Xenopus tropicalis: one gene and its partners. The protein of the gene in region 4 interacts with the protein of the main gene of each other region in a pairwise test. Links are inferred from orthologs where the notes say so. Each region holds a gene or a part of one and is shown on either strand. Other genes may lie near its edges.

Region 1 (3,500 bases), on a different chromosome or scaffold from region 4:
GAAACATCAATTGTGCTAAAGAAAGTTCCCAAACAAAACCTTACTTGTAATCTGCAGGTGGCTTAAAATCAGGGTTTAATCCCACCATTTCAGTGATGAGGTTATGACGTTCCTCTTCCAGCTTTTTGCGCGTTCTGAACTCTCGTGTGTTCAGCCGTTTCCCTTCACTGTTATAAATTGGTTCTGGTGATGGAGACCTGCATAAAGGTAGACAGCCTGGCATCAGAACAGGATTAACAAGGCTCGTAAGGAAACAAGAATACATTGTGAGGGCAGAATTACTTTAAACTTGCATGTGGAACAAACTTTAGTTTAAAGACTGCTTTGTTAAAAAACCTCAAATCACCTCAACAGAAAAAAAAATCCTATCTATCCATTAATCTTTAAGGCTGCTCGTGTATAACTTTAATAAGATATACTTGTGTAGAGTTAACTCAAAAGTAGTAACTGTAATCACCTCACATTCAAAAGCAAAGATTCTCTTAGATAGGAATGTTTTAAGACTTTTTTAAGCAAAAAGGACCAATATAATTAAAAGAAAATAAGGTGTTTCTAGAATGTTATCCTGAGGAAAAATAAATCCTTTTCTAAGATTTCAATACTCTACTAAAAGTTTCCATTTTGATCAAATCTTAAACCCAAATACCTGAAGTATTCTTAAAACCCCACTAACTTAAAATTAATTTCTCTCACCCCAGAAAGGTACATAAACAATGGTTTAAAATGGGCAGGAAAGGGCAAAATAACTAAGAACCTAAATTTTGCGCTAAAGAGAAATTATGCAGGTTAAAGCTGCAAAGTGTGGTTAAATACGCGGCCGAAAAAGACAAATTTAACTGAGGGCTGCTTTGAGAAAAAAAGCCAACATTAGGGTTATTGAGTACGCTTCAGTTGATAGACGTTTTTAAATGGGGAGACATGGCAATAAAAGACCTGTTTAAAGAGGTGCAAAGGTTATTAAAATTCTTCAAAAGAAACATTAACCTCTCTAAAACCTGCTTTTACTTAAAAAAAAAAATTTAAAAAGTTAATGAAACATTATGAGGAGAGAAAAAAGGGAGAGGTTAGGGATATGTATAAAATCATGTAAACCTCCAACATCCCAGTTTAAAAGTAACAAATTTGTGATATCACATCCCACTGAGTGTAAGTCAATTGAAAAGGCTGTTAAAAACATATGCGGGAGAAATACAAATATTAAAAGGTGAAGTTGGTATTAGTTAAAACGATCCAGTCTGATATCAACTGGAACTACAAGTAACTAAATATGGCATACTGGAAGTTTTCTAGTGTAACTACAGGGCCACAGTTTGCAAGTTTTTAAAGAGTACAAATTTAACATCTCTGCAACAAAGTGTTTCATCCAATGTTTCTCTTCCTTATGCCAAAAGCACACAGACCATACAAATGCCTGCTATATGACAAGCATATATCTGTAACACATGGACATTAATTCAGACTGTCACAGATTTGTAAAATCAAAATGGTAGAATTAAATGCTTTGTGTGCCAAGCATGTACAGGTATATATAAATATTAAAGAGGTGTGTTAAGGAAAGCACACATTGTAACACTAAAGTTAAAATTAAAAGCCTAATTAAAATATGAACATACATAAGGTATACAAAATTGTATACACAAACATAAAACTGACCTTCAGACACCTTCCCTATCTATATGCCCTTGATTGGAAAGCAATACAAAATTTTTCTGCTACCATCTAGGGTTACTCCATGGCACAGGAATAGCAACAACAAAAAAATTGGGAAAAAAATGTATAGTGGCAAATGTTCACATGTAGGGAAAAAAACTGATTTTAAAGTTTCCTTTTCTCACTGCAGTAAACAGGATGTTGCAAAAATATTCAATATGCTTAACTGTGGCAGTATATGTGAAAAGGGGAAAAGTAGTTATGAAAAAATCAACTTATACAGAACACACACATAAAAGGGAACAGAGTTATTACTCCAGTGGGAATGGGGTTTACCTACAGGCTATAATAGATCAAACCAACCTATTCTGGATGACAAGGTGATGGATGAGAAGAGTGATAGGCAAGCTGTGACAGCTTTCAGTCTTTTTTTAAAGGGGTGGTTCACCTTTAGGTTAACTTTCACTATGTTATAGAATGGCCTGTTCTTAGCAACTTTTCAATTGTTGATCATTTTTTATAGTTTTTGATTTATTTGCCTCTTCTAACACACTTAAGTTTTAAAATGGGGGACATTGACATCAGCAGCCAAAAACTTGCTCAGTGAGGTTACAATTTTATTGTCAGTTACTTTTTATTACCTATCTTTTTATTCAGGCCTTCCTCTATTTATGATCCATCTGTTTTAAACCACTGCCTGGTTTCTAAGCTAAATTGGACCTAGCAATGATAAGCCAAAAACTGCAAATAAAAAATGAAAAACAATCACAAATCATCTCAGAATATGTCTCTAATACTAAAAGGTAACTTTAAGGTGAACGACCCCTTTAAGAACAGTAACCAGTATTTATTTTTTGCTTTCCTTTCTCAAATATTAAAAGACTGTAGGGCACTGTTTTTGTTGCAGGGCTGTTCCTTGGGTCTACAGATTTATTTTTCAATGTTAATTCCATCTTTGTTAAATAAGTCACGTCACAGGTTTAGTCAAATATAGTCTTACTTGGGAATGCCCCCCAGAAATCAAGTCCTATGACAGAACTGCTAGAATGGTACATAATTTGTACCATGTACTTCAGAAGTAGGGCAGATGCTATAGCTAATAAAAAAATCCCTTAGCAGCTGCTCCCTCCCCCAGTGAGTGCCAGGCTGCAGAAAACTCACTTTTGCATGTGGCTCTGGAACTCACTGAAACCAAAAGTAGCAGTGAAAGATGATCAGAAGTTTTTCTGAAAAGGAATAGACCTAAGGCAAAAAAAGGCCACCCAGACCACCAAAGGGCAAATATGACAAAAGAATAGAACAGCACAGCAAATGCCCAGGCAATATTGCAGAAGCCAAAATAGAGGCTGATTTTCAAACACTGAAATGCAAGGATTGCCAGCAGTTCAAATGTTTTCCCCATTTATCAAAAACCTTCCTGCTAGGAACATTTCCCTTACAGGACAGTTTTTATTGAAGTGGCATTTATCACATAAAATAGATTATGTTCCACTGCAGTAAACAGTTAAAAAACCAGTGGGGTGGTATTGCTTAGCAGCAGCAGTGAGCACTATCATCCAGCAGAATCCTTAACCCCAAGGCAAATCACAAGCAGGGAGAAAGTTTGTAAAATTCTGACGGGAACAAGAGGAAAATGTTATATATTAAATACCTATTATTTTACCAATCTCTGATTAATGCTGGGTAATAAAACTTTTGGAGCCTGCAAAGTGCAAGTCATCCTATTCCCCGTTTCCATAGCAGGCGGCCACATGGGGGTAGCAAAATATCTAACCCAGCTTTGCAATGCTTTTGCTTTGTGACATCTGCAGTTCATTAGGGATAGCCCAAGACAGCCACATTACAGTTAA
Region 2 (3,500 bases), on a different chromosome or scaffold from region 4:
AGTTTTTAAAAAGTGCAACATACCCAATCAATAGGGCTTGTGCTGAACATACTTTTTTGTTATAAATATGTATGTTTTTTGTTATACCTTACACCAAAAAGAGCAAAATATGAAAGTGAAAGTCACCTTCTGCTTCCTTTGTGACCACAGTCAAAACAAATCAGCAGTCTATTGTAGAATGAGCTACTCAATAGGCTGTAGCAGAGAAAGGTAGGGGTTTAAATGTCAAATGTGACTTTAACTTTTAGATTTATAGTGTGAGTCATAACTAAACAGACTTTTTCTAATTAAAAAGAAAAAGAAAAACAGGCAAAAAGTAATTAATGCTGAAAAAGGAGGTAAACTTTTTTTTTTTTTCTTCACAAGTTAGTTGCCTGCATTACACATGTACGACAGAGTATTGGTTCTGTATTGTGTTCCCCCTTAATCACTAGTCCTGCTGGTTTGAACTCAAACATCATTGGACCAAGAACACAAAATCACCCATGTTAACAAAAGTGCATGTACTGGTATTTTAGCAGTTGTTCATTTTAAAACATAAATAACCATCTCGTAACTATAACCTGTATAACACTCCACAGGTATCTCCTAAAACATTCTGCAAATATTGCTGCTGTAAATAGTGATGGGGATGTTCCGCTTGATATTGCTGAAGATGACTGTATGGAGAATTTGTTGCGCGCTGAAATTGCAAAAGGAGGTAATGTGTTTGTCACTAGTGTCCTGGTAATCCAGCAGCTGTCCTTGTATAGCCGGTCTGACAGGCCAGCCTATCCTTTACTCCCCTTGCAGATGAGCCCTGTGAGCAATTTCATATTTAGTTATATGTAGAGTATATATGTCCCCCATTAGTACACAAGGTTAACCCAAATGGGCTTAAAGCAGTGTATATCCAAGTGCTTATTCAAAACCTACCTGCAGCCATCTGTCACTATTCTTACACCTCAGCAGCTTACCATAGGATTTCTTCTTAGCAGTTAGGTAGTACTTTTAGGGTTAGGTCGCCTTCCATGCGTGCATATTTGCAGTCAGAAGAATTAAAATATATATTACTTTTGTGCCACTCAGTAACCACTACTTATTGATTTTATGCTTGTCGTAAGGTGTTGATATTGAGGCTGCAAAGAGGGAAGAAGAAGAAGTAATGCTTCGGGATTCCCGGCAGTGGTTAAATGCAGGAAAAATTGAAGACATCAGGCATTCAAAGACTGGAGCAAGCGCCTTGCATGTTGCAGCAGCTAAAGGCTATATAGAGGTCATGAGGTAAACTTGGTGGCATCATGATAACTTTTCTGTCTCACAGAGTCTTTTGAACATGTCTTGAAGGTATATTTTGCTTTTCTATGACCAGGCTTCTGCTTCAGGCTAATTTTGACCCAAATGCACGAGATAAAGATGGCTGGACACCTCTTCACGCTGCAGCTCATTGGGGAGTGGAAGAAGCTTGTCGGCTACTTGTGGAACACTTTTGTGACATGAATGCTCTTAATTCTGTGGTATGCTTAAATAATTTTTATAGAATATACCCATTCTGCTAAAAACATTGACATTGGCAACAATTATTAATTGCATTTGAGCAGGGGGCTCGCATAAGGGGAAATGTAATATTAGGTCTTGGCTAATGGTATGTTTAGCAGGTTGTGCCAGTTTATATTTGTGTAAAGTGCTATACTAAACACACTGAATGCTATACTAAACACACTGAATTCATGTCCAATAATTCATTCCGCAGCATGGGTACTAAAGATGATACACACAGGTCTCAGATGAGAGCATCTTTGGATAATGCTTTGGTCATCCTTGTAATCCCATTTAAATGAAGATCCATGGTAGTCTCTTGGTTCAAACCAACTACCTGTAGTAAACCAATCATCCTATTCTGGAGCCTACAGCACCCACTTTGGAAATATTTCATAAACAAGGACGCTATAAGCTGACCTACCTTAGAAGAGGGTGTCCCGACAAATTTGAGAACATTTGGGGTCCATAGATTGAAGATTTTGCCACATGTCCATCACAGGACAATGTCTACAGGTGGCGATACACGGGCAGATTTTAGCTGCCGATTCCAGTCCTTCAGGCCTATTCAGCTTATCTGCCCGTATATAGGCACTATTAACTGGCCTACCTGATTGATATCTGGCCTGAAATAGGCTAGATCTCGATTGGCCAGGTTTGATTTTCCCATTGGATCAGGGACAGCATTAGCTGGCCTAGGGCCAAACAATCAAATTAGCCCAATATTGCCCACCTCAGGTAGGCATGTCGAGAGAAGATCCACTCGTGTACCTACCTTGCCAAACAAGCGGATCTTACTGTGTATGGCCACCTTTACATGGCTGTGATTTTATATTTAACAATGCTGCCCTCTTTTTTTCTTTCCTATTTCTTTTCTTAAATGATTGACTATCTGGTTGCTTTTTATTGCCCCAGTAACCCTGAGACTGTATGATACCCTACTTGTGCATGGGCAACCAATGTACCTATAAAAATACAACAGTGTTTAAACAAATTTAGTGAAAGTGTGAGGTCAGCTTAGAAGAAACCTTATACAGTTGTTGCTGAGGTGAGTCGCCATTTAACACCTACCATCAACTAGTCAAAAACATCTGCCCCATCATTGATTAGCAAATTACATTAACCTATTAAAGATAGGGATGTTGGCAAATAAACATTCTTTAAACCGATTTTAAAGGAGAAGTAAAAATGGCTTCACCTTATGTATGAGTTATTATGAGTACCAGCTCAGATCTACCACAGCATATTAGCAGCAAAAATGCTTTAAGAGTTGCCCTCAGTTGCTCTGCATTTTCTTTTATGCTGATTCACAACACAAGCACTGGTGACAGGCAAGTAGTGGCACGAAACCAATGCACTGAGCATCAAAATGATCAATAATCAGCCTAGTAACATCAGCTTCTGCATCACTTGACCTCCCTTTATGCTAAAGTGTTGGTGTGGTGGTGTCCTATGACCTACTCGGCCTAGCTTTTTAACAGCAGCCCAGAGCACACAGGCAATGTTTTGAGTGTCCGTGACACCCCACATGCTCAAACAGGATAAGAAGATAGGTGTGTTCCTGTATAAAGCTTTGAAAGCATGGGTCATTATGGCTGCTAAACATCTGGCCTAGTATAGTAAATGTAGTACATAGAATACAGCATTTCTAGCCATATTTATTTTTAGGCTTTAGTTGTCCTTTAAATCTCAAATTGGCAAAGCATGGTACAAAGAAAAGTCAGAAAATGTTGCATTAATCTCATTTCAGCCATGTGCTATGCACAAGGGTCGATTGTGACAGGCAGAAATTGCCTTGAGTGTTCAAAATTAGTCACATATGGAATAAAAATGAGGCAATATGATAATATTGTAAATCCCTTCATCAGTAATGCTGCTTTCTGTCATATAGTCCTTACATTCTTCACTATTAGAATACTGTGCAGGAATTATTGCTGCCTTGTAGCGTGGCAATGCAGAAAATCAATAGCAATAAGAACAAA
Region 3 (3,500 bases), on a different chromosome or scaffold from region 4:
TAAGCATGCTATATATCCCATTACCCTTTTATGTTGTGAAACATTGCCACAAACGCTCACCACTGCCCCCAACTGGGAGAAAAGGCTTCATGCCCAAGTTTCATTATATTTGTTCCTATAGTTGCAATTATTTTATCTGTTTGCCCTAGAGTTTCCAGTATCCCCAAACCATTGTACAGTGCTTTGGAATAAGGTGAAATATTATAAAACTTTAAGAACTATAACAAATAAGCAATAGACTGATATTATTAGCCTAAACACAGAACAAATTTATTTTGCTAAATTTAAGTATTAATGTAGCCATTCTTAGCCAAAATATAAGCCCTGAAATAGCTCAGTGTTGAGCAGAGGGAAACATATGTCAGCTTTGAAGTTCAATGCCCAGAGGAGAATCTTATTCTATAAAGACAAAAAGGAATATCTTGCCAGTATTTTTTACTGTCTCCTGGAAGAACTACATGCTTGAACAAAGGCACCTTTTAGAGGAATTTGATGCAGCCAGTATATTTATCTTGATTTGACTGCATGGAGTTTCTTAATTTTCATGGGAAGGAATCACCACTGCCTCGCTATAAGAAACTAAATCCCTGGTGCATGCATTTCAGTGCGGTGGTTTAGAAAAGGGACTAGTGGTAATGCTTTGGGGACATGCTGTAAAAGCTGGGTTTCGTTCTTTAAGCTGTTACTCACCTGCCATCTGGCTTTAAGTCAGGGCACTTTTAAAACTATTTTGGTTGGTTCTGTTCCATATTATGTGAGTTGCTGATTCCAGGGCAACTGTTGGAGGTCAGCCTGAAGCACACTGGACCCATGAGTTTACCTGTAAGCATGGGTTGCTGGATAAAACTTCAGCAGGACCTTTCTCTGTTCCTGTCTTCTCGGTGCATACCCCAACCACTCCTGTTCAGATAGGGCCCATGTATCACCCCCTCTATACAAGCATAGGTAATAAATAAGATAAGATAATAAAGGATATTTAAGGGGGCTTGGCATCTCCAAAAAGATATGACCTGTTATATATATTTGCCATTCAGTGCCCTTGAATGAGCCAGCCTCTTCAATAAAAATTTCAATAAGGATAAAATATGTGACAAAGTTAGGGTTAGAAATTTTACCTGCTGTGCTACCTATATTTTTTACTGTGGGCCAACTAACAAAACTAATAGGTGGATTTTACATAAAAGTGTGTCCCAATGCATTTTTATGTATACACCAGAGCTTACTGGTGTGTGCAACATGGAAGAATAAAGAAGGTAGATGTTCATAACTATGCTGGGCAGGTTTTCTCAGTCAACCAAAGCATCTCTGATGCAACTCTTTCAACAGAGGCAGAAAAGAAGCTATGCCAAGGCATAAATCGCTTTATACATTATGATTAAAAAAAAAAAACTCAACAAAGTAATACATGCATTGCATTTGTAAAGTTTGTAAACTTTTTTTTTCATCCACTGTATAGTAGTTCCCCTTTTAAGGGCAAGAAAAGGCAAATTTAAACCCTGATGCCCCTTTTTGGAAAAAAATTGTACAGGCCCAGAGAAATTACAGGGTGGCCACTGACACCTTACAGAGTTCTCAAGTGGCTGGCTTAACTTAATTTGGCTGTTCCGAAGTAAATATGTAGTTCACACATTTTAGTATGGTGTAGACAGCACAAGTTTAATTGGTCATCTTAATTATGAAGACCTATATTACAACTTAAAAAAAATACGTTTCTTTGTTCGAGAATATAATTGTAAATGGTAAAATGAATTATCTGCTATGTAAACAGTGTAATTTAGAAATAAACGTATACCATAAAAATCAAGACAGTATCCATTTAAAGAATCTACAACCTGTCCTGAATATAATCCAAATGTTTACTCCATTCCAGAAAGAAATGTCTGTGTAATACATGCCCTTACACCTGTTTAAGACCTAAGGCTAGATATTAAAACATAAGATTCCTTTACTTTTCTACCTTATTTTGTTAATGCAATTTTGCCCACCCTCAAGGCGCAGCAAGATTTTTTTTAGCTTGTTTATGCCCAAGTTTGTGAAGAAGAACTACATTAGTCATGCAATTGTCTACTGTATCAATCTTTTCTGGCCAAAATTCCAAACTAAATGGTCTAGTATGGTATAATGATCTTACAAAATAACGTCAAAAAGAATGTGAAGGACTTTACATGTAATGATAAATGCAAATTATCATGTCACTCAACATATTGCACAAAAGTTGCAGCATGTGAGAAATTTGTGCGACAGCTAAATCACACCGTATTGTTTAGAATTGCTGACATTGGACATATTGAATGTGCAGCCATCAGACATATTGCTGGGGACAACAACTGTAAGTATCCACAATCAGAGTTGTTAAAGATGCTGGTGCAGACACATTATACTTTTTAGGAGTATATTATTAATCTGTTGCTTTTCTTGAAAAGTCAGGAATTGAATATATATGATCTGGAAAATCCCCTACTGAGAGCATAGCAGTAGATAGTGATAGTAAGAGCTTAAAGTACTGACTATTAAAGATAAAGATGCTTTGCAAAAATGTTTTTTTCTCACAGGGCCTGTTCAAATTCAGACGATGTTCTGAAGGTGAACATCCCCTTTAAAGTTTCATTTTCACCTACTCCCTGGTGAGCTCTGTGAGGGGGTCTCCAACTCTTAACTGTTCTAATCCCATTAGTTGATGCATTTCTTTGGCCCTGTTGAGCATAATCCCAGCTTTCATTAAAAGCAACTGTTATAACTGATACAATGTTTGCTAACATTAGATAGAAGACACCGAAAAAGTATCAAATTGTAATAGTCTGCATCTGGATTAATGAGCTGCTGGACTGAAGCACCAGAGAGAGGAACAGCAACTTTAAACTTCAATATTAGAAAAAATAATCTCTCTTAAAACAATTAAACTGAAAAAAGTGTTTGGAAGATGAGCAACCACTAGTTTTAGATATACCTTGATTGGATAACTTCTTTCTCCATCTCTTGTTTCTTTCTCAGTTCCTCATTTGCTTGCCTTAGGCTTACCAACTCCCTTGCAAGGTCTGTCCATGGTTCACAGATTGGAGGATGAGATGTAACCGACACAGAAGGTGGAGGAACAGACACACGACGACGGTTTTCAAAATGGGAAGGGGGAATCAGCCCACCTAGACCTAAAGAAGAGAAAGATAACATCATACAAAACAATGAAGATGTCATTGTCACAGTCTTTATTGTGAAAGTCATGACATGTTTAACCACTCCCAAAGCTCTCCTACATAACACCCTGTTACATTTTAAAGATCTCCTGAAACTCACCCCTTTTTGAACACAAATCATGACGGTCTTTTGGAAAAAAGAGTTAAAAATTATGACTGGTATGGCATCACACAGCTCAGTGAAAAGCTAAGCTGAATGGGCACAGCTTATCCACCCTGGTAAAAACTACCTTGCATAACAATAAAACGAATTCATAATTCCTGCCAGAGCCTGTTAATGTGTAAAAGCTGGGAAGTTGAAAAAATCCT
Region 4 (3,500 bases):
AATTATAAAAAAGTCTCCCTATGAACATATTTTTGGCCGATAAACCTTGGGCTGCTGCCCTTCTTACCTGAAGCAAAACAACTTTAGTAGGATTCTTTAGTATTTCTGTCAGAGGGTTTGGATCTGCTTTCTTAGCTGCTTCAACTGTAAGAGATTAAATTTCTATTTAAAACACTTTAAATGAAAAAAATCACCAATGAAGCAAGGAATCTGCACTATTAGGCGTTATTGTGAAACTCTTGACTTTGTGTATATATATATATATATATATATATATATATATATATATATATATATATATATATATATACATACACATATACATACATACATACATACACACACACACCCATGTTAAAAAAAAAAAAAAACTTGGGAAAAAAACAAAAATATTTATTTATATGCACTACATAAGTTATATCCACATATCCATACACACACTTTATATATTAGTATCTGAAAATTGTTACTCAAAACAACAAACCTTTGTCAGCTAAGTCACCAATAATAATTTTGCCTCCCCTCTTGCTTGTCTTTTCAACAGAAAGTGCAGTGCTGAGACCCTGCTCGTGCTTGCCAAGGCCCTGTCCTTCCCGAAAGCCATACTTCTGCATGATTTTGTGGGCCACAGTACCACTTTAAAAACAGAAACAAAGTACACAAAACCTCAGCTTATTTTTGCCCCCTACAGTAGCTGTAAGTAAATATGAACCCATATAAAGTGATGAGCAAGGGAGTAGCACAGTCACCATATATACATGGAATTTTGCCCATTTCAGTTTTATACATACTTTCAGAAAAGTTACCTAATATGCCACTGCACCTTAATTTTTAATTATCCCTAAGGATTTTCATAAAGAAAATATCTAGGCTAATCACACAGAATGAGTTTTCGATCGTCACAGTGAAGTTTCAGGTGGAAACCAGTGCAAAGACACCACTATCTGCCTGTCAGTAATTACCCTAGAGATGTGCCTATGGAACACCGGACAGGGACAGGTGAGATGCGTTTTGTTTCTATTGTAAAACAATAGCAGTCCCATGTCTGAGAGATGTTTAGTACAAAAAATATCATACAAAGCCAGACAAGCATTCTGCCACATTTGATAATACATTAGGCACTGGAGGACACTGTTGAGTTAGCATCACTATACTCCATAAGATCAAACATTTATTGATTTACAAATTAGCCCAATCTAAGTGTCTGGTCGCCAGTTCAATATGCGGATTATGTAAGTGGTTGTGCGGTGTGGCTGAATATAGAGTATATACAGCCCGATGTAGTTGGGGACAACCAGATTTTCCTCTGTCCAGTTATCTGATAATCACTGAAAAATATTGGACCAGAAAGATCGTTTTGGTCCCCCACGCAGGATAATTGGCTGTGATTTTGTGCAAGAGAGGTTGAATCAGCAGCATACATCTTAATTCAATACATCCAAAAGCAAGTACTGTATGTTTAGCCAATCATATATGAGGTAAGGCATTGTCTTTCAATGCTACATTTAAAAGAAAAAGAGAAATCAGTTGGGATACTGGATCATGTCTGAGGATAATAAAATTAATAGGACTGTGTATAATTATCAGTCAGAGTTTCAAAACTATTTATAAATGTATACAATATTGTAAGCTACTCTTTTACACAGAAAACCATATTCCATACCCCATATTTGCAAGGAAAGAATTGCTAGGCCCAGTTGGTGATCTTGGTCTCTCTGGCTCATCATACATAGGTGGTGGAATTGCAGCCTTTGCCATTGGTGGTCGTGGCCTTGGCTCGTCATCATAAGCAGGCACAATAGCTAGATCAAAAACACATAATTAGAACAAACTGTATGACAGGTTAAAAACTGTTACTGCCTCTTTAGCAATTCAGTAGAAATTGTGTGTATAGGGGGCACAACATTTTAGCTGCTACACATTTTGTAATTCTTCACAGGATCCATACGATAGCCTGTATGCAGAAGGCAAATCTTTTGGTTTTCACTGTTGGCCCATGGGCAGCAAATCAACTTGCCCATATTGTTCCACAGATACTTGTGAACTAAAAGTTTGCATCATTTGATTCATTAATTTATGCATTATACAGGCCCTGCAGGACACTTTGGTCTCACTTATTAACATTGGGCAAAACTGCACCTGTGCAGTAACCCATTACTGCAGTTATCAATCAATTTTCAGCCTGCTTTAGGCAAAACACTGAAAGCAAAAAACTGGCAATTAGTTGCCATGGATTACTGCCCCTGTTGCATGTATTGGTGATTTTAAAAAGCAAGTCGTCACATAAGTCAACTGCAGTTATCTCACTTTTCTACAAGTTGGGAAATAACTAAAGCAACTTTAAGTTCAACACACAACTGCTCACTTAAGTAGTTGCAGTCCTAACATAAATGGTGCACTATAACCTCTAATTCAATTCAATATTTATTTACCAAGCAGTTGAGTGGATACTCATAATTGTTAAAGGAGAACTATACCCCCAGGCGCAAAAATCCCCCTTAACTATCATTACCTAGACCCCCCTCACCTCTCCCTTAATACAGAGAAATCTTCTTACTGACTAAAGACTCTTCAGGTCTTACCACTGACACCTAGCCTGCTTGCGCATGCACAGTTGAAGCAGATTTCAGGCTACCTCCAACTGCGCGTGGCCAAGCAAGTTCGTATTGGCAGAGAGACCCGAAGTGTCTTCAACCAGTAAGATGTCGGTGAAGTACGTGGCTGCGCTTATCTGTTTTTTTAGCTAGCGGTTAGCGATAGGAGCAGAGTAGAAACGTTAAAACTATGCAATATTGGAGAGGTGAGGGGGGATCTAAGCAATTATAGTTAAGGGAGCTTTTTGCGCCCGGGGGTATAGTTCTCCTTTAAAAGCCATTTCCATCCCTGGGGCAGTTTACTGGTGAACAGGTCTTCCATTCAATGTTCTGGCACCTGCCATGATTTAAATTGGTGCCAGCATTGGGATTTCCTACACTTCCTACAATGGTAAATATATGTGTTTCAAGTTTAAATTTTCTTAACTGATTAAACAGATGTCAAACAATTCAAGCACAGATTGTTGTGTTAGTTACATGATCCTTTAATACAGATTCGTGCAGTCATCTTTCACAGATTTGAATGAACCGCCATCTAGTGGTGGTAAATCTGGTAAAGTTGGAGATACCAGACTGAATTGAATTAAAGCAACATTAAAGCCCAACAAATTATTTGGCTAGAAATACTATAGCTTATATTGGGGCCTTACAGTCTGAGCTAAAACATACAGCAGTCTATGACTGAGACCTATACCTCCCCACAAGTTCATGAACAGTTTAGAGGTACTGCCCATTCTCTTACTGAACAACCTCATTCCTTACACCAGTCAAACTTCTGTGGTGCCGAGGGCCAAATTTCTCTAGCATACATAGTGGAGGGCCGCTAACGGGAGTCAGTTTGACCACTCCCCCTTTTTAAACCACACCCACTTCAAACAACACCCATGTGAGGACCAAGCATTTGGG
Region 5 (3,500 bases), on a different chromosome or scaffold from region 4:
ATATTACATAGTCCATCTTTACCCTTTAAACCAAGGATAACAAACTGACAGCCATCTAAATGTTCTAAACTACTACTCCCAGCATCCTCACAGCTGTAAATCAGCATAAAACAAAAAAGTTTGTGAACCCTTTTCTATATTTTTATAAGAATAAGACTTAAAACATCACTTAATTTTCAAGTCCTAGAAGAAAACCTAGCGAAACAATTATTATATTTGATTGAGTATTTATTGAAAAAAAAAAAAAAAAAAGATCCAATAAGATTTGTGTGTGTGGCAAAAGTAAGTGATTAATGCTCTCAGTATAAGGTGTGACCCGCTTGTACAGCAATAACTGTAACTAAACATTTGCAGTAACTGTTGATCAGTTGATCAGTCCTCCACATCGGTGGAATTTCAGCCCATTCCTCCTTCCAGAACAGAATCAGCTCTTGGATGTTGGTGGGTTTCCTTACATGAACCACTCACTTTGGGTTATTCCACAACATTTTGATTGGATTAAAGTCAGGACTTTGCCTTGGCCATTTCAGAACATTCATTTATTCTTCTTTAACCATTCTTTGGTGTGTTTCGGATTATTATCTTGCTGCATAGCCCACTGTCTCATAAGATTCAGTTCACAGACAGATGTGTTGATATTTTCCTTTACAATTCCCTGGTAAAATTAAGAATTTATTGTTCCATCAATCATGGCAGGCCGTCCAGGCCCAGGTGCAGCAAAATAGGCCCAAACCAGAACACTACCACCGCCATGTTTCACAGATGGATAAGGTTCTTTTGCTGAAATGCAGTGTTTTTATTTCTCCAAATGCAACACTCTTCATTTAAGCCATAAAGTTCTATTTCGACTTTTTCTGTCCACAAAACATTCTCCCAGTATCCTTCTGTTTGTCTACATGACCTTCAGCAAACTGTACAGGGTCAGCAATATTTTTGGGGGAGCGCAGTGCCTTTCTCCTTGCTACCCTGCAATACACACTATTGCTGTTTAGTGTTCTCCTGATGGTGGGACTTATGGACATCAATTTGAGACAGGCCTTCGGCTGCTTAGAAATTACTGGGTTCCTTTGTAACCTCTCGGACTATTAGATGCCTTGCAGTTGGAGTTATCTTTGATGCTCGACCACTCCTGGGTAGGGCAACAACGGTCTTGAATTTCCTCCATTTGTACACAAATTTTGTCTGACTGTTGATTGTTGGAATCCAAACTCTTTAGAGAGAGTCTTGTAACCTTCTCCAGCTTTATGGGCATCAACAACTCTTTTTGACACCTTTTTCAGACACCTCCTTTGTTTGAGCCATGATACATATCCACAAATGTAATGTATGTGTGATCAGGCTCTGCTGGAACCTCGTTCTTTAAATAAAACAGGGTCTCTCCCTTCCACCCGATTGTAATTGCACTGACTTTGATTTCACCTACAAATAATATGATAATGCTTAGGGGATGCACTGAATCCAGGATTCGGTTCAGGATTTGGGCAAGATTCAGCCTTTTTCAGCAGGATTCAGATCAGACCGAATCCACATCCTTAAAATCACCTTTTGTCACACTGCGCAGTTCTCTTAAAGCCCTCTGTGGCGTGCTGGTGTATTTGCAAATGGCAATTAGGATTTGGATTTGGCTCGGTATTTGGCCGAATCTTTCACAAAGGTTTCATGGTTTGGCTGGATTCCGAAATAGCGGATTCGGTGCACCCCTAATAATCCTAAGGATTCACTGACTTTTGCCATATGCAGATATGTTTTAGGATCATTTTTTTTTTCAATAAATACATGAACAAATAATCATTTTTGTTGCATTTGTTTAACTAGTTTTTCTTCATCTACTTTCAGAACTTGTTTGAAAATCAGATGTTTCATATAAAAATATAAGTGTTCACAAATTTTCGAGAACCAATGTATATATTACAGTAGAACCCTGATTTTACATCCAAGGATTTTAAGTTTTCCTGGAAGAGATGCAGTTTTTTTTTGCAGTTCCACACAGATAATTTGCATTTTTTTTCTTTCCCAGAATTTAACATTGTTTTAGCACAAAGCCCAAGCACCGGGGTTCTACTTTATAGTGATTATATACAACAATAACTGCACATTCAGATTCTTTCAAAAACATGTGCCACAAGAACAAGTCAGGGAAGCAAACATACCAGCGCATAACATATTCTTTCTATACACATGCACACACGACTGCAGGTTACTGGTTTATTGCCTGCTGCTACAGCATCAGATATATGGTTAATGAAAACTGACACTGTATGGTCTATAGAATTTCAAGTACAGTCTATTAAATAACTGCTCCAGATATTTTTTTTTTCCTGCATCTGTTTTACATTTGTATTGGCAGTTATTCTAGGTACTTTGTATCTTTAGTGTCTGTAGTCTGGCCCATGGGAAACTAACCAACATGTCTTCTGAAATACCAGAATCCTGGGACCCCTCGGGGGAGAGGTTCATTCGATTCAGCTGTGGGGCAGGGTGGAGAAGATTCCAAGGCCTGGTGAGTGCTTCATGAATCTGAAATTAACAATGGAAACTAAGCCACCAACATCTTTGCAATAAATTAAAATATAAAATTGAAAGCCTTCAGGCAATCTATCAATTCTGATACAGAGTTTAAAGGTGATGGCAAGGATTCCTTATAATGTATAGACATGGGTCAAGGAACGCAATGGGGCTCGTTATGCACATAGCCAGGTATTTTTTCCTAAACATATAATTCAATTAATAAAAAAAGTAAAACTTGATTAAATGTGCTCTGCCAGCAAAATAAAGAACCATACAAACGCTACAAACACGGAAACATGTTAATGAAGCACATGTAAAATGCTACTATTATTTAAAAAGTGTTGTTTTGTGGCTTTCTTTAATTCCAGTGAGAGAAGACAGGCTATTTAGGTTGTTTTTCTTTTTAAGACAACTGAATATAAACCATTAAATCCCATTGGGTGCAGCTGATCTGATAAACATCATATAATCCTAGATAGGTTTTGTTTAATTGTTAGTAGAAGGGAACAAGAGTTTTTTTGTGGGGGGGGGGGGATTCAACATCTGCGCGTGTTTACTAGGTATGGTCTGAATTAAAAGGAAACCAGCGCCTAATTATGAAAAGGATGAACCCATCAACAGAGAATAAAAATCAACATTTTCAGAATTGCAGTTGAGCCACTGTTTGTTTTTTTCCTACGACTTTTAGAAACAAAGGGCTAATTTGCAAAAGTACAGTAACAGCTTTGATAATTTTAGAATACCGTAGATGGACTATGGACAGATTTTGCTTGGTTACTGTACTAGTTTCACCTGTCAGCCAAGCCCAATCTGCAACTGCCCAGTTTTTTTTGCTTCGACTCTGGGTCTTGGATTTTGCAGCTCCCAAACTTCTAAAGATACACAGGCTGTACATTTCTGATGTAGGTGGCTTAATTCGCTTTCTAGGGTTACTTAGGCCAAAAAAGAAAATGTAAATAGTTTTCAATCACCTGCACCTGTTGTGCTTGAAC
Region 6 (2,180 bases), on a different chromosome or scaffold from region 4:
TGTTGGCACTGCTTAAGAAACTTAGATTTAATTGATTTGTGGGAGATGTGCCTAATACTGAAACCCCTGGCGAATTCAGCTGTTCTGTAAAGTACAATGATGGAATCTATTATTTGGAATGCATAGGGCCTTGTGTGTGGTTGGTTGTGGTTTTTTTTTTTTTAACTAGAATTTCACATTAAAGTTTGTGCCCATTTGGAAACAAACCTTTTAGAAAGCATGTACAGAATAAACCTCTTTGTACTCATGTAAGGTTTGAGTCCAGATTCTGTATCCCTTCTAATGGATCATGGAAGGCATCTTCTACTTATATTTAAATGTAAAAAGATTGTTTGGCCACATATATATATATATATATATTTTATTCATGTGTCATAATTGCCAACAAGTAATTTGAATTGCTTAAAAAGGACTCTGGGGAGCATGGCCTTCCTTGCAACTGAAAGCTTTCTGGATAACTGGTTTAGAAACTTTAGATTCACAGTGTCGGACTGGGACCCCAGGGGCCACCAGAAACCCTTAGACCATGGGCCCACTCTCGGAACAATTTTTCCTCCTTTATTTACTCAACCACTTTATTCTCCTTAATGCTAGCATCTATTCTTCCATCTATTTCTCCTCTTTCTTTCCATTCAGAAATAGGGAATGACCATGAAACAGGCAAATGATCAGGAGCAGGAGGGCCCACTGACCCCTGGGCCCACCGGGAGTTTTCCTGGTATCCTGGTGGGTCAGTCCGACACTGGATTCATAGCACTTATTGTCAAAAACAGACTTAAACTGCTAAGCATGAAGTTTCTAATATGTGTTTGGTTTTTTTTAGGTTTTGGCATGGGATCAGAGATATTCAAGCACTTGAGTCAAGTAAGTGTTTATAAAGACATTTCAGCTGACTTTATTCAGATCCTTAAACCTGTTGGAGTCATGGTGTTCAGGGCAAATAACAGTTGTGCTTTACTACTGTACTGCAAACTTGTAATATTTGTTTTGGTCAAAGGTGCCTACCTATGCTGGTCAGAACTGAAATTGATTTTAGAGTTTCTATGACTGCCTTTTAAAAGTGAACTATTATGAGTAATAAGAGCTCTTTTTCCCATTAAACAAAGAATGTAATGGTTTTTCAGCTCATTTATAAAACTGCCTGTTACTAGGGGCTCTCAATGCATTCTAACCTCTTTTTTCAGATTGCGATGAAGTGCCGTTGTAGCAGCATGCACTTCCTGGTTGCAGAATGGAATGAGCCGTCCATAAAGTTCTACAAGAGACGTGGAGCAGCTGACCTTTCTACAGAAGAAGGATGGCGCCTCTTCAAAATCGATAAAGAATACTTGTGTAAACTTGCCGCTGAAGAGTGAAAACTCTCCCAGAGGCAGCAAATATCTCAATAAAAGAATAACATTGATTGTTTGCATGTCATTATTATAGTGTAATTGTAGAATAGCTCATGCAAAAGCTTTATTACCAGTGGCATTGTAATGTGGTTGTCTCCATATCCTCATAGCGAAACTTTTTGTGGCAGCATCTTCAAGTTCTTCAAACATTAGTTTCTCGGTTGTCTGTATTATATGTAACTTCATTGTTGTAAGTCATTTGTGTACAATGTACACACTGGTATGTAGGTTTCAATTTGTACTATTCAATTAACCTGTTTTTATAAATTAAAGAGCAGTTTTTGTTCTACTTGTTGTATCTGTCTGTCTTTCTACTTTTGCAAAGTTACCAAGTAGAAAAGAGAGGAACAGCTCTAGAAAGTTTGGGTCATGGCTCAGGGCATTCTGTGTAACCTTTTTATGTTGAGTTGTAGTCCAGGCTCACATGGGGGATGTATCGCTTAGAATATATTTTATACAAACTTTAAATCTAGAAGTATAAAATTTAATGTGTCTGTGTGTTTCTTACCCACAGTTCACCATTGTCTCCCAGCATGCTACCTTATTTGTGCCTGTCACTATCACATGCAAAACTTGGCATTTGATTCTGTAGAGGCAAAGCCTTGCTATTGTATAGAATAGTGTAAGTTGCTCCTGTCGCACAAACGGCAGTAATTGTCCCAAAGCACTTTGTATACACTTGCCATGCTGGTTTCAATATGTCAATGATAAAGTGCCATAGTGCCCTTTTATCATCCTGCCAGTCGTAACCGAGCCCGAGCCAGAAGTGTAGGATGTCTCTAGTGTAAG
Region 7 (3,500 bases), on a different chromosome or scaffold from region 4:
AGATTGGTATGCTGTAATATCCTGGCCATTTCAGTATCTGGTTATATGCATTTAGCTTGTACTCACTATACCTTGTCGATTATTTACAGGGTGCATCCACAGGGTGGGGGGGGGCAAGTGAGTTGCATGCAAGGCTGCATGTAATCATTTGCATAAGGCTGCACGTAAAAAAAAATGCTTTCTGTATGTAAACAGTACACGCAGTGATAAATTGTTGCATCTAATTCCAAGTGCCTTGGCGCACACAAGGGATCGCACAGTAGCTGTTAGCAGTAGCGGCTGCATTTCCCTCCCTAGGCTTATACTCGAGTCAATAAGTTTTTCCAGTTTTCTTAGGTAAAATTAGGTACCTCGGCTTATACTCGGATCGGCTTATACTCGAGTATATACGGTAATTGTTTTTTATGATGAGGTTAGTAAGATGCTAGACAGTGGGGGTGCAGTAGATGTGATCTTTTTGGATTTTGCCAAAGCATTTGATACCGTTCCCCACAATGACTGCTTTCTAAAGTAAGGTCTACTGGTCTTAGTGAAGTCGTTCGTACATGGATAGGAAACTGGCTACAGCAGGGATCCCCAACCTTTTATAGTCGTGAGCAACATTTCAATAAAAAAAAATCTGAGGAGCAACACAAGCACAAAAACTTTCTTAGTAGGTTACCAATAAGGACACAGATTGGTTAATTAGTAGCCCAATGGGGACTGCCAGACTACAAAAGACTCTGTTTAGCAGTACATATGGCATTTATGCCTCCAAGTCAGAAATTCAAAATAAGCACCTGCTTTGAGGCCACTGTGAGCAACATCCAAGGGGTTGGTGAGTAACATGTGGCTCACGAGCCACTGGTTGGTGATCACTGGGCTACAGGATTGGGTACAGAGAGTGGTTGTTAATGGTACATTCTCTGCTTGGAGTAAGGTTATCAGTGGATTCACGGGAGGAGGGTGTTATTCTTCCCCTTTACAGAGTGCTGGTAAGGCCCCACCTAGACTATACTGTCCAGTTTTGGACTCCAGTGCTCAAATTGGACATTATTGAGTTAGAGAGGGTACAAAGAAGTGCAACTAAGCTGATAAAGGGTATGGAAAGTTATGAAGAAAGACTGGCCACGGTGGTGGTGTTTACACTGGAGAAGAGGCATTTAGGAGGTGATATAACTATGTATAAATATATATGGGTATCATATAATAACCACTCTAATGCTTTATTTACTAGTAGGTCTTTCCAACTGACACAAGGGCATCCACTCCGTTTAGAAGAAAGGAGGTTCCATTTAAATATTTGGAAAGGTTTTTTTACTGTGAGAGCTGTGGAATTCCCTCCCTAAACCAGTTGTACTGGCTGATACATTAAATAGCTTCAAGAAGGGGTTGGATGGCTTTTTAGCAAGTAAAGGAAAACAGGGGTATGGGAGATAGCTCTTAGTACAAGTTGATCCAGGGACTGGTCCGATTGCCATCTTGGAGTCAGGAAGGAATTTTTCCCACTCTGCGGCAAATTAGAGAGGCTTCAGATGAGGTTTTTTGGTCTTCCTCTGGATTAACTAGCTCTTAGGCAGGTTATATACTTGGTGGATGTATGCCTTTTTTCAACCTAACTTACTATGTATTTACATCATAATTTACATTTTATATATATTTCATATATAAAGTTACTGCATTTCCTTAAAAAAACAAAACACCTCTGCTGTTGGAGCAAGAGGCTGTTGACAGAAAATATGAAGTGCAAACACTTGCTTTTCTGTGTAAAATTAGGGAGTACTTAAATAAGCCTAACTATTCACTACAGCAGTGCAACAGTATAAAGGTCTACAGTGGTCTACTGGCATTTATATGAGCCACAGTTTATCAGAAAGAGTGATTTTAAATTAACTTCAGGTAACATGATCACAGTCGATTATACAATTAAAAAAATCTCAAGATTCTTTATTAAAAAAAAAATGACTGAATAAGAGACTTACAAAGCTGAAAGTCAATGAACTATCTTGTCACCTTTTCTAGTGTTACTTTGCAATCAAACTAGCCAAAGAATATGTCTGCATGTAAAATATACACAATGTTCTGCAAACCTTGTGATTCAAGTTCTGATTCATCCACAGCTTCCCATTTCGAAGGTGCAACTTTAAAAATGGGTTCATTCTTCTTAGCATCATCATTAATGTCCACTAAGAGAAGAATAAAAAAAAATTTAATGCAACAGTATCTTGTAAAAAGTATATGTTTGCTATCATAATACACTGTTATCTTGGCACCTGAAAATAAACTCTTAAAAAATGCTAATACATTTTCACATTCCTACAAATGTATTTCCCACAAAGAAAAAACCACAGGCTTCTCAAGTTTACACTAACTAGGGAATTTTACTTATATAATAATATATGTTTGCTCCTCCTGCCCATTCACCCCCACTCTCTCTTTTGTCACAGACTGCAGAATTTGACAATCATTTATATATTCCTTGTCTGCCTCTATACTCTTACTTTCTTTACTGCCTTTTTTATCACTTTAATACAAAGCACTCTTGGAACTCCACTAGCCAGGTATCATATGCCCCCTATATACAAGCAAGCCCAGCTTATTACAGATGGGATGCAAGGCTAAGAGCCTTTAACGTGTATAGTATAGTCATTCACCAAAAACCTCAGATGTCACCAAAAAAGGTGCTGTGATACTAGATGTGAATAAAGCAAGCCAGTTAATATAAAAAGGATACCTTAAAGTAGGTTAAATAAACTAAAGATAACACCAAATGTTACATGGTAAAACTAGATAGACAGACACTATTATGTTCTGTAGTTTGTATTTTCATGCTCTTTACAGGAAACTATACTTATATAAATCATCCAAGAACCTCTATTATCAGATGCAAAATGAGGGTAAAGTCTCAAATGTGGTCTGTCATTTGAATAACAAATAATGCATAATCTTGCCACATTTAGGCTTGGAAGGTGTCACAAAAACAGATGTCGTTAACTTTGATGATCATATATTTTAAAAAATATATCCTAAACCTAAAGCAAAATAACTGCTTAATATCAGGCTGTGCGACATCACAAATGAAGCAATGTGAAAGATGGGACTATGGGCTCCCAGTGGAGTAAGGCACACAAGGGAGGTGGTCTGCGCTTATTACAAAATTTAAACCATATAGCAACATTTTAAGATAGAAACTTACATGGTACTCCATCCAAATCATCTTCTAAAGATTTTATGGGAACACCATCTAAGTCATCAATAGGAGCACCATCAATTGGGATTCCATCAACATCCTCAATAAGAGGTACATCCAACTCTTCCTCAATCGGAGCACCATCCAAATCATCTGGTACTTCCTATAGTCAAAAACAAAGTTACTGCTGTAAAATCTATTTTACAAAAACAACATTTTTAAAGCTGACAGTATTGCTTATTTATAAAATATGAAGCAGTGTATAAGATTTTGGTAGCATTTTGTACATTACCAATACAACTTTGTAAATCTAATTAAAAAAAAAATTTAA

The links.
Region 1: the proteins of rbm17 (region 4) and sf1 interact in binary tests that used the Homo sapiens proteins (3 or more experiments, as listed by UniProt). The link is inferred for Xenopus tropicalis from reciprocal best matches to the Homo sapiens genes RBM17 and SF1.
Region 2: the proteins of rbm17 (region 4) and ppp1r12c interact in binary tests that used the Homo sapiens proteins (3 or more experiments, as listed by UniProt). The two-hybrid records come from large-scale screens. The link is inferred for Xenopus tropicalis from reciprocal best matches to the Homo sapiens genes RBM17 and PPP1R12C.
Region 3: the proteins of rbm17 (region 4) and cchcr1 interact in binary tests that used the Homo sapiens proteins (3 or more experiments, as listed by UniProt). The link is inferred for Xenopus tropicalis from reciprocal best matches to the Homo sapiens genes RBM17 and CCHCR1.
Region 5: the proteins of rbm17 (region 4) and qrich1 interact in binary tests that used the Homo sapiens proteins (3 or more experiments, as listed by UniProt). The two-hybrid records come from large-scale screens. The link is inferred for Xenopus tropicalis from reciprocal best matches to the Homo sapiens genes RBM17 and QRICH1.
Region 6: the proteins of rbm17 (region 4) and sat1 interact in binary tests that used the Homo sapiens proteins (3 or more experiments, as listed by UniProt). The two-hybrid records come from large-scale screens. The link is inferred for Xenopus tropicalis from reciprocal best matches to the Homo sapiens genes RBM17 and SAT1.
Region 7: the proteins of rbm17 (region 4) and u2surp interact in binary tests that used the Homo sapiens proteins (3 or more experiments, as listed by UniProt). The link is inferred for Xenopus tropicalis from reciprocal best matches to the Homo sapiens genes RBM17 and U2SURP.

The regions. Positions count from the first base shown.
Region 1 is NC_030680.2:40,405,225-40,408,724, reverse strand, and holds part of sf1 (splicing factor 1), read right to left. Parts: intron 198-3,500; coding exon 45-197; intron 1-44. UniProt on the Homo sapiens protein: Necessary for the ATP-dependent first step of spliceosome assembly. Binds to the intron branch point sequence (BPS) 5'-UACUAAC-3' of the pre-mRNA. May act as transcription repressor.
Region 2 is NC_030683.2:104,656,031-104,659,530, forward strand, and holds part of ppp1r12c (protein phosphatase 1 regulatory subunit 12C), read left to right. Parts: intron 1-581; coding exon 582-700; intron 701-1,103; coding exon 1,104-1,263; intron 1,264-1,351; coding exon 1,352-1,496; intron 1,497-3,500. UniProt on the Homo sapiens protein: Regulates myosin phosphatase activity.
Region 3 is NC_030684.2:75,151,315-75,154,814, reverse strand, and holds part of cchcr1 (coiled-coil alpha-helical rod protein 1), read right to left. Parts: intron 3,147-3,500; coding exon 2,948-3,146; intron 1-2,947. UniProt on the Homo sapiens protein: May be a regulator of keratinocyte proliferation or differentiation.
Region 4 is NC_030679.2:84,305,437-84,308,936, forward strand, and holds part of rbm17 (splicing factor 45), read right to left. Parts: intron 1,803-3,500; coding exon 1,664-1,802; intron 637-1,663; coding exon 485-636; intron 145-484; coding exon 68-144; intron 1-67. UniProt on the Homo sapiens protein: Splice factor that binds to the single-stranded 3'AG at the exon/intron border and promotes its utilization in the second catalytic step. Involved in the regulation of alternative splicing and the utilization of cryptic splice sites.
Region 5 is NC_030680.2:136,800,374-136,803,873, forward strand, and holds part of qrich1 (glutamine-rich protein 1), read right to left. Parts: coding exon 3,480-3,500; intron 2,518-3,479; coding exon 2,404-2,517; intron 1-2,403. UniProt on the Homo sapiens protein: Transcriptional regulator that acts as a mediator of the integrated stress response (ISR) through transcriptional control of protein homeostasis under conditions of ER stress.
Region 6 is NC_030678.2:43,102,164-43,104,343, forward strand, and holds the end of sat1 (diamine acetyltransferase 1), read left to right. Parts: intron 1-823; coding exon 824-864; intron 865-1,184; coding exon 1,185-1,355; 3' UTR 1,356-1,680; downstream 1,681-2,180. UniProt on the Homo sapiens protein: Enzyme which catalyzes the acetylation of polyamines. Substrate specificity: norspermidine = spermidine >> spermine > N(1)-acetylspermine. This highly regulated enzyme allows a fine attenuation of the intracellular concentration of polyamines.
Region 7 is NC_030681.2:119,916,822-119,920,321, reverse strand, and holds part of u2surp (U2 snRNP-associated SURP motif-containing protein), read right to left. Parts: intron 3,333-3,500; coding exon 3,176-3,332; intron 2,166-3,175; coding exon 2,070-2,165; intron 1-2,069.